Drosophila melanogaster: one gene and its partner. The gene in region 1 interacts genetically with each later gene. Each region holds a gene or a part of one and is shown in the gene's direction. Other genes may lie near its edges. The genes, in order: CG17760 and TkR99D.

The links.
Region 2: of CG17760 (region 1) and TkR99D, changing one suppresses a phenotype caused by changing the other (phenotypic suppression), as found in Drosophila melanogaster (one study listed by BioGRID).

What each region holds. Positions count from the first base shown.
Region 1 is NT_033778.4:12,623,685-12,629,133, forward strand, and holds CG17760 (uncharacterized protein), read left to right. Parts: upstream 1-2,123; 5' UTR 2,124-2,452; intron 2,453-3,068; 5' UTR 3,069-3,114; coding exon 3,115-3,232; intron 3,233-3,299; coding exon 3,300-3,484; intron 3,485-3,552; coding exon 3,553-3,707; intron 3,708-3,913; coding exon 3,914-4,042; intron 4,043-4,102; coding exon 4,103-4,232; intron 4,233-4,286; coding exon 4,287-4,440; intron 4,441-4,509; coding exon 4,510-4,617; intron 4,618-4,754; coding exon 4,755-4,837; 3' UTR 4,838-4,935; downstream 4,936-5,449. Other genes in the region: CG30054 (uncharacterized protein), read left to right, coding at 42-159, 218-402, 465-619, 680-808, 879-1,008, 1,070-1,223, 1,300-1,407, 1,586-1,668; muskelin, read right to left, coding at 5,344-5,449.
Region 2 is NT_033777.3:29,966,250-29,971,380, reverse strand, and holds the start of TkR99D (Tachykinin-like receptor at 99D), read left to right. Parts: upstream 1-1,933; 5' UTR 1,934-2,398; intron 2,399-5,131. UniProt on the Drosophila melanogaster protein: Receptor for tachykinin-like peptides.

The sequences.
Region 1 (5,449 bases):
AGATACTGATCAAAAATTAATTTAAAGATTTAAAGATGAATATGCACTGCTGTTCATCGACCGAGGCAATGGAAAAAAGGCGTATCAATGAGGAAATTGACAAACAGTTGCGCCTTGAGAAAAAAAGATCTAAACGGGAACTCAAACTACTGCTATTGGGTACGTGGAGTGGGATGTATTGGGATGTATCAAGGATACAATGTGCGTATATCCACAGGCGCATGCGAGTCCGGGAAGTCCACATTCATCAAACAGATGCGTATTATCCACGGCAGCGGTTACTCGGACGAGGACAAGCGTGGATACATCAAGCTGGTTTTTCAGAACATATTCATGGCCATGCAGTCAATGATCAAGGCCATGGATATGCTGAAGATTTCCTACGGTCAGGGAGAGCATAGTGTAAGTGAAACATTGATCTAATTGAAGTCACTGAATCTTAAACAACATCTTACGATCCACAGGAACTGGCCGATCTGGTGATGAGCATCGATTACGAGACCGTTACCACGTTCGAGGATCCATACTTGAATGCCATCAAAACGCTTTGGCACGATGCTGGCATCCAGGAGTGCTATGATCGTCGTAGGGAATATCAGCTGACTGATTCCACTGAATAGTGAGTTGGGACACCAGGAGCGATACCCAAAATTGCTTTTTTCTCATTTTCTTATTTCAGTTTTTTGGGTGACATAGGTCGAATTGAACAGGCTGATTACTTGCCAACTAATCAGGACATTCTGCGTGCTCGAGAGCCTACATTTAATATTACCGTTTATCCTTTTGAGTTGGATGGCTATGTACTTAGGTATATATTAAATTTTTAGGGGCAGTTTTATTAATTTTATTGTATTAACAAATTTCTCGTTTATAAACAGCATGGTGGATGTAGCAGGACAGCGAACTGAGAGAAGAAAATGGATTCACTTTTTTTCGAATGTAACATCGATTATATTTTTGGCAGCACTGTCGGAATATGATCAGTTCATGATGGAATCCGAAAACGATGTATAACTTGAAGGCATTTTATTAATTATTCGCCAACAATAATAAAATCCGATTATTGCAGAATCGACTGGAGGAATCAAAGGCTCTATTTCATACTATCATAACCTTTGAATGGTTTAAAAATGCTTCAATCATTCTGTTTCTTAACAAGATGGACGTGTTAGAGGAGAAAATAATGTATTCGCATTTGGTAGACTATTTTCCAGAATACGATGGTAGGCGTTAAAAGTTATATGGATTTACACACAAATTTTGATCAATATATTTAATACTTAATTCTTTACAAAACAGGTCCAAAACAAGATGCATATGCGGCCAGGGAATACGTGCTACGTATGTTTCAAAGCATTAGTTTAGATACATATAAAAAGATATATTCTCATTTTACGTGTGCTACAGGTAAGTGTATTGTCTTGATTTATTTGGCTTAAAATGCATTTGTTCTGTTCTTATATTGGGAGATTATGTATTTTGCTCGTTTGAAAAAACAATGTAAATGCAGTAACGTACAGCCTAACAAAAAGCTAAATAATACGTTACAAATCCCATCTAATTAAGTTATTTATTTCATTTTTAGATACGGAGAACATTAAGTTTGTGTTCGCTGCAGTTAAGGATACAATTTTGCAATGCAACCTAAAAGAAAGTAATCTGTTTTAATATGGGTGTGGATCCCCAACTTTTATGTGGTCTCCCCATGTAGATAATAAAAATAAATTTTGCTCTTACTTTGTTATAAGCACACATATTCAATGTTTATACATTCTCTTTACCTCTATCGATTAAGAAATTATTTGCATGTCTTATAAATTTAGTTTTTAATATGGTTTTAGGCGTTTACAGTTTGGTATTCGTGGATTAATAAAAACCAGTTCATCTTATAAGAGCCGCGCATTGTTGGGCTCTTAGAAATAATTATTTGTGTTTTTATTGCCATTACAAATTAACTTAATCTACATTAAAAGAGTGAACTAAGTGTAAGGTAATGGGAAGAGATAAACAAATTCTCTTAAAAATCGCTCTTAGTGACTTGAGTAGGGCGAATTAAGTAAGCTCAGTTCTCAACAATTTTATCGTGCGGGTGAAAATGTAAATTCGCCCAGCGCCGCCCAATTAGTCTTAGAAAAACTCTCAAGACAGAATATACAAATTTTGCAAAAATTCTGTTTAGTCCACGTTTCGGAAGTTTAAAATTTTATATATAACCTACAGAACAGGAATAAAAAATAAAAAAATTAAGTAAACCCGTAAAATTGGTGAAACAAATTTAAAATCTACAAAAAAGTTAGAAATTAATAATAGTGCTTTCATGTGACTAAATTTCAATAAATCGTTTCATCACTTCAAAAGCGAACCTAAAAAGCACGAAAAAAAACGACCAAAAAACGATGAAATAAATGTAAAATTGTATCTAAAAAATAAAAAGAAAATATTTTGTAAGCACGTGAGTCAGTTATAAAATAACGTGTTATCACTTCCGTTATCCGGAACTCGCAGAAGGAAGGATTTATAATCGTACATACATAATATATTGTATGTATGAGTGATTCATTTCAGTCGACAGAATCAAAAAATTATAGTTGCTTTATTTTATTTATGAAATATTTTATAAACTCATTTAAAACAATGCCAATTTGGGTTTCGGCATACATTTAATAATTACAACTCGACAAAATGTTCAGCTCGATATTTTGGAGTGAGTAACACTTTTGTTTTGTATTAATACCCAAAGCGAAGATAATATTATATTCGTATAGGCAGAGCCTTATTTCATATGATATTTTTCAAGGCCAAACTTTCGGAGTCGTCATAGTAAATTACCCATGTGTCACTGGAATCAGCATTCTAGATTCGGGTTCAGTGAACTTGCTAGCCATATCGTTCCCAAGATCCCGACATACGGACAAACGGACAGGATCTATAATTGTTGATATTAATTAATTAAGCTACAGGATAGAAAACTTATCCTTCTACGTGTTACACACTTGCAACGATCAAGTAAAGATCAAAGAAAGGCGTATTTATATTGACCAATTGCGTTCTTTACTCAACAAATAAAGAATCGAAATAATCAAGGAACCAGAGAATAAGCCTGCAGGAATAACCATGGACTGCTGCCTATCGGACCAGGCTTGTGAGGAAAGGCGTATCAGCAGGGAAATTGATAAGTTCCTGAAAGCGGAAAAGAAGAAAGCTCGACGTGAACTTAAGCTATTGGTCCTGGGTAAGGGAAATCGTAGAATAATTAATTTCATGGCCTGTGTATATACCCAACAAATCCACAATCGCAGGCACAGGTGAATCGGGCAAGACCACATTCATCAAACAAATGCGCATCATTCACGGCAAAGGATTTTTGGACAAGGAGAGGAAGCAGTTCACCAAAAATGTTTTCCAAAACATATTCATGGCCATACAGTCGATGATCAGTGCAATGGATACTCTGCGAATTCCCTACGGTCAGCAGGAGCATAGTGTAAGACTAATTCCTGAAGCAATAATACATATTTTGATTTGCCTCCAACGAAATCTTATGATCCACAGAAACTTGCCGATCTGGTGAAGAGCATCGATTACAAGACAGTTACCAGACTGGAGGCGCCCTACTTGAATGCCATCAAAACTCTTTGGAAAGATGCTGGCATCAAGGAGTGCTACAATCGTCGTAGGGAATATCAGCTGACTGATTCAACTGAATAGTGAGTGAGCGGATTGATTTACTAAGAAATATCTGAGAGGCACACATGGGTAATCGTGCACAGAAAACCCATTTAAAATCAACTCTTTTTCTGCTTATTTTATGTGTCTTGAATGTGATAATAGTTACATTTTATCTAAGCATTTGTATTAAGCATAATTAAATAAATAACTTAAATTAAAATCGCTTCATTTTTCATCCAATTAGCTTTTTGAATGACATAGCGCGAATTGAACGGAGTGATTACCAGGCCACTGATCAGGACATTCTTCATGTTCGAGCGCCAACAACCAATATTGTTGAGTATCCCTTCAATTTGGACGGTTTTCTGATAAGGTATTTGTTTGAAATATAGTAAAATTAATAACTTCAATTAAATCGTACAACACAACACAGATTGGTGGACGTCGCTGGTCAGCGAACGGAGAGAAGAAAGTGGATTCATTGTTTTTCCAATGTGACATCAATTATGTTTTTGGTTGCCATGTCCGAGTTTGATCTATCCTTGGCTGAATCGGAGAATGATGTATTCTTTTGAAATTCAATTTCTTCCAATGAATAACCAAATTCCTTATTTCAGAATCGTATGAAGGAATCTAAAGCTTTATTTCACAATATAATATCGTTTTCATGGTTTCAACACTCGTCCGTTATTCTGTTTCTAAACAAGGAGGATTTATTTAAAAAGAAAATATTGTCAACGCATTTGGCAGACTATTTTCCTGAATATAATGGTAAGTTGACATCAATCAAACGTATGTACATGTCATATAAAGGATTTTATTCGACATCCTATTAACCAGGTCCAAAGAAGGATGCTAAGGCGGCCCGAGAATTCATATTGTACATGTTTACTAGCGTGAATCCTGATCCTTACAAGTGCATCTATCCTCATTTCACCGTTGCTACAAGTAAGTCAACTTTATATTCTGATTTTTGAAAAAAACACATCTTTTTGAATTCCTTGCTTGTGTTTTATTGTGTCTCAACATAAAAACTAAGGACGCTTTACACTCAATAACTAAAAAAGTGTTTTTTGGTTTTGTAGATACTGAAAATATTAAGTTCGTGTTCACTGCTGTCAAGGACACAATTCTGGAATTGCATTTAAGTGAAACTAATTTGCTGTGACCTCGATTTCTACAAAATGTCTATTTAAATCATATTGATGAGTAACAACCTTTGTGTATCATATTTTAAAAATAGGGAAATAAATGTATGTAAAACAGAAAATAACTTTTTAATTATTTATAAGTTTGCTATTATATTATAAACTGATGTATATTAAATGCGCCTTGTTGCTTTTGGACGTTAAAAAACTGTTTTTTATTTCAATCTTATGTTTACATATACAATCCATTAAATATAACTCGGTTTACATACTGTTCTTATTCAGCCTAAACGCACTAACTATGAATCCAGCTGCTTTTAGCCGGGGTTTCAGTACACGTGAACTATCACAATAAAATCATATATATGTCATGCTTTGCATTAACCGTAGAACCTTATATGGGCAAACAAGCGAATTAAACATCACATCATGATCAACAGTTTAAAACAAAACTCTCACACACTTAATAAGCTAAATATAATCTTGGATGGGGGCTCGTATTGAATCGGTTTTGGCACGTTAACATTTACATGACCACAAAGTCGCTAAGGTTGCGTTCAGGTTGGACCATGCTCGGTGGCATCAATTGCACCAGTTTATTGAACAGGAAAGCTCGCTTATTCTTCAGCTCG
Region 2 (5,131 bases), on another chromosome or scaffold:
TGCCAGCATAATGTTGACAAACAAATTATCATTCTGGCGGTCAACGAGGGGGCGGGGGCGGCAGGGAAGGATGATGATGATGAGGTGCAGGACGAGACGGGCTTAGCGTTGATTAAATGGGGTCATCAGCAGGGCATGGCACTGGTAACGAGCGTTATCCTTGCAGATAGTTAATGATGCCCAGCTGCTCGGGATATTGGCCATTGCAGGCGTACACTCGGACTCGCAGCTCGGTGCGAGCCACCAAGTTCAACTTGGTCCATCATAATCATTATGGATGTGTTCAATGGACTGCACGTCAGCGAGAGATAAAGAAATTTAATGACCTCCTGCTTTCACTGTGTATCCTCCTTCCACAAAATGTAAGACGAGAAAATAATCTAAATGAGACATCGCCTTCAAAGCGTTGGAAAATAGTTACCTAAGCTAGTTAAGTTGACTTGTTTCATCTTGGATCAGTCGAATATGTGTGCCAAACCATGGTGTAGGTCATCTCATTTTACATGCAACCCATTCGTTGCTCAGTTGTTACAACTAAATGGAGTGATTGATGGGACATTGATGCATGTGCAGCGGATGAAGTTGCGGGATTCCATCTCCGCCAGCAAATTAAGACGTCCGAATCTGGCGAAGAGGGGGAGGCATTTCGGATTCATTGCTTACTTTAGGCATTTTTGGCCAGATCAGCCACCAACACCTGCGGCTGTCTGGTGTGAAAGAGCCAAGTCATTTGGCCAAAACTAACAAACATACGCTCTGCACTGAAAACAATTTCTTTGTATGTATGGTAATTGTAAAATTGTAATTGTTTTATCAAAATGTAAATAGAGACATATTCTGTATGGAAAATAGGAGAATTTGCGGTTTTATACCCATAATTTGGCTAAAATCATAATTACAGTCAGTTTTATACATGTTTTTTGGAGCCTGTGACCTAAGCAATCGATCCAAATCACTTTTTAATTGATTTCGAAAAATTAATTTTTGGACCAATTTTCGCAAATTTGATAAGGGGTACCATCATTAAAATTTGCTAAAATTGGCCAAAAATTTATTTTTCAAAATCAACAAAACTTGAATGCCAATCGATTAGGCATGCAATTACGAGCTCAACGAGGTATTACATTCTATATTTTGATAAATTAATCCAAAATTTTTCGTAGCCTTTCCACTTGGGAAAGTGGAATTTTAATGGGAAATGGGAATTTTAGCCTTAGGACTTGGCTACCTTAGCAAAAATAGCAAATCACTTTGCACTGATAATCAAGATGTGTAATCTATTTCAATGATATACCCCTATTGAATTTGTAAACATGCATTCTAAACCTAAAACAAATTATTCGAGTGTATTGATAAACATCTTCCTTTGAATGTGGTATTAAACGCTTTGAAAGTGCTGTTTTGGAAGCGATATATTCATTGTGCATATGTGTGTATATTTTGTAAGACATCTTGGTCATTTGATTTTCCGCTTGTGCGTGGCGTGCACGTGGCAGAATCGCCGGAGTCCGGATTGTTTACGAATAGCCGTATGACAACAGAGAGCGAACGAAGGCAGAGCGAGAGGAAAAGATAGGGCGCAGGCGTAGAAAGAAAACACTCGGCAACACTGGTGAATTTGGGCGGGTTTCCGTTCGATTCCGTCGCAGATTTCAACGCTTTTCAAATGGAAACGTTGCTCATTGCTCCGATAAAATAAAAGGCCCTCAACGCAAAGGGGTTACGTGAGCCCTAGTCCCCAGTGCAACATCCCAACATATGCAACAAGCGGCCGGAGTCCCCGAGGTCCACGGGAACCCCCCCCGCCGCAGAAAAAAAAACCGCCCACTTTTTTGTGGCCCTTATTATAACACCGACATATCAGCGCGCACAGCCTCAGAAAATTCCGGCTGGCATTCAGTTTTCCGCTTTCCGTTCAGTTCAACGGCAGACTCGCGCGCGTACGGTTCGAACTGAAAAGGCGACGGGTCCGGATTTTTTGGACTTGTCGGTTCTCCGGGTTCTCGGTTCCTGAAATTCGCTGATGATAGGTGATAGCTGAAGCTGGCGGAGAAGTGTTGGAAAAATGCTGGAAAATCAGCTTAGAGCTGGCTGAAATGCCGCCGGCAGTCGATCCGTAAACGTAATTGAATTCGGCCCAGTGGATTGAAAATCAAATTCAATTTCGTAGCGAGCAAACACGCAAAAACGATAAACTAGTCGTTAAAGTGAATATACAAATTGGTGTTTTGATTAAAACTAATAAACATAAACACCGAAACCACAGAGCAGCAGAAGGCGAGCAGCGGAATTTATTTTTAAATACGATTTCTTTGTTATTCGCTGCCTGCAATTGGCTGACATTGCTCATACGCCGCGTTGGCCGAGCGAAGAAGTGGGGATTTCAGCATAGTTCCTGGTAAGCGGTCTCCCACTGCCCAAAGTATTTTGTTTTTTTTTTTTCATTCTCTTTCCACTCATTATTGTTTTTCCATATTACAAAAACATTGTTTTCGGGAGGTGGTGGCTTGAATTGCAAAGTTTATTGCACAAACCAAACCGAAATTGGTTTACAAGTTTATGGAAATTCGAGTCGCCAAAGTAATTAGAAAACTGCTATTTGTGGACAACTTTCGGCTGCCCTGGTAACTTTAGCTCGAAATGTAATTACATCGAGAGCCTAATCAAGTGACTAACCCAATTCGAAAGATCAAACTGTAGGCCATTCCCATTCATCCCGATTTTCCACTCAATTTGAGCAACGAGTTCCACGACTCCAGTGAGCTGAGAAATAGTTAACCGATGGCCAAAAACCATCACACCCAATTGACTTTGCCCGATGAAAAGGTTCTCCGATGATCTCAGATTTCGGAAATCTGGTCGGAAGAGCAAATCTCCTGGAATGACAATTAATTCGATTGCGATTTGCGTTTTTTAGGCCCACGGCGGAATGGAAATAATCTTTTTAAATAACGCACCAATTCCGTACATCCTGTGCCATAAAATAAAGTAAAATAAAATAAAACCGTGCGCATTGGCTTATCCCTTGGGTATTTTCACATGTGCCCAGCTCTGATGTTTATAATGCAAATAAGCAAAGTGTTTCAAATGTATTTATTTTGGGGTCGAAGGCGTTTCAGCGCTGGTTGTTTTTTTTTTTAAGCCATTTAATTTTAAGGGGAACGTAAATAGAAGCCTTAAATGCATGCAAACTTCCTGGCTGGATTTTATAGAGTTCATACACAGTTGATATTTAAGAAAAATGTAAACCAAAGGCAAACGAAAGTGTATCTCTTCGTTAGATGTTAAAACTTGATTAAGTGTTTGAGCAGTTAATTAATTGAATTTAATCAAGTACTTGTGGCCAAATGAACTCCACCCTGCAATCAATCGGAAATTTAAGTATAAATCATCAATCAAATCAAGGCATTCATTACCTCGAAGGTATTTCGCTTGTGAACTCCCGACATAATTGCCACTTTAATTGAAGAAAATTAATTCACTCGAAGTGTCCATTTCCAGCTTTCCTTCGAATTCGAAGTGAAGCGCTTTCAAGTGAATCCGCTGGCCAAACAGCACACTTAATTGCTCCTCCGAGATTCCAGACATCATCTAACTCAATCAGTGGCTGGCACAACTTTCTCCGCTTCTAAATATTTAATGTCAACTATGATTAGTGAGGAGGCAAAGTCCTGTGGTTTTAGGCATGTCGATGTGGGATGTGGGCTGTCGGATGTGGTCGGGGGTCTTTGGATCCGGATAAATGGCTGTTTGGCGGCCAAATGAACGCATCCGCACAAAAGCTTTGCCGACGGTCAGCTGAGCAAACCGAAATCCTTTCAGCGCGAATTGCTTGCGGAGGAGCAGGAGGGGATCCGAGGCCATTAGTTGGCCCCAAAAGGCGGCCTTTAAAGATTCAGGCAGGCGTGAACGGATGGGTATCTTTAAGCGAATACGAATGCGAATCAGTAATAAGTGAGTGGGGTGCCGTATGTTCCGTATGTCCAGTGCTGCTCCACAGTGCTGTCATGCATCAAAACATTTAATTAAATTGAAACCGATGCGGCATCCGCCCCACTGCTGACGTCTTTGCCCGGCCACACTGGACATTGGCCAGTGGACACTGGACTTTGGACATCGGAGCGAAGGAGGATGTGCTGCTGGAGGTGGAGGGCAGCATAGCAGGTCCTTTGGCGCCGGAGACGTGTGTAACTTCGGCTTTCTTCCCCAGCTTTCAGCATTCAGCATTCAGCTTTCAGCTGGACACCAGTTCACCATCTCCGCCCCGAATGAATTTAAATGAAGGCAGTGCCGGTCCTAAACAAGTCCGTGAATCATGTGCATATTTTAGCGGTGCTCAGTTGAGTTCGTCCCTCTTTTATGCAGCCCCATCGAGCTATGCAGTGTCCTTGTCGGTGGACAGGACGTGTATTCCACAGGGATAGCCTTTAAATAAATGGGTTAATTCGATGGCATTGTTCGCACACCCAGCACATGTGTCCACAAGACAATTGTCCAATTTATTGGCATTGAACAACTTTGTGTGTCTAATATAAAATGTTGCACATAACAATATGCAAATAACACTTGTGGCAGCATGTTATTTATGACTTTGTGAAGCTTAACTTTAATTTGGCATTTGGCCTTTGTCAAATATTTCATTTGATCGTAGATCCGAATAAAAATTCAATTTTTTCCCAAATGAAGTCGAGCGAATTGGTTAATATTTCCGGAGACGAAAAAAATCTATCAATTTTGAATAAGTGAAAGTTAAAAGCTCCAGCTGAGAAGTCATTCAATGGGCAAAAGCAATACAATTCAAAACTGAAATGTACTCAGTTGCCCCTCGGCCTCGCCACTGCTCCCCATCTTTCCACGCCGAGCAGATCTGCCAAAGAATATACACCGACTGGCAGATGATTGAAATGGGAGTGAGAGCCACAGCGCTGGGAATCGAATGGGGGGAATGGGGAATCGGAGGTAGCCTTTCTTCACTTCTGTCTCCGCTTTGTTCCTCAATTTACACATAATTGCAATAAATTGACTAAGTGGGTGCTGGGGCACTGAATTTATTGTAGTCCGAGTCCAGAGCTCCAAAGATCCATAGCTCCAGAGTCTTGGACATTTGGGCGGAACTGCAGCACCCGTCTAT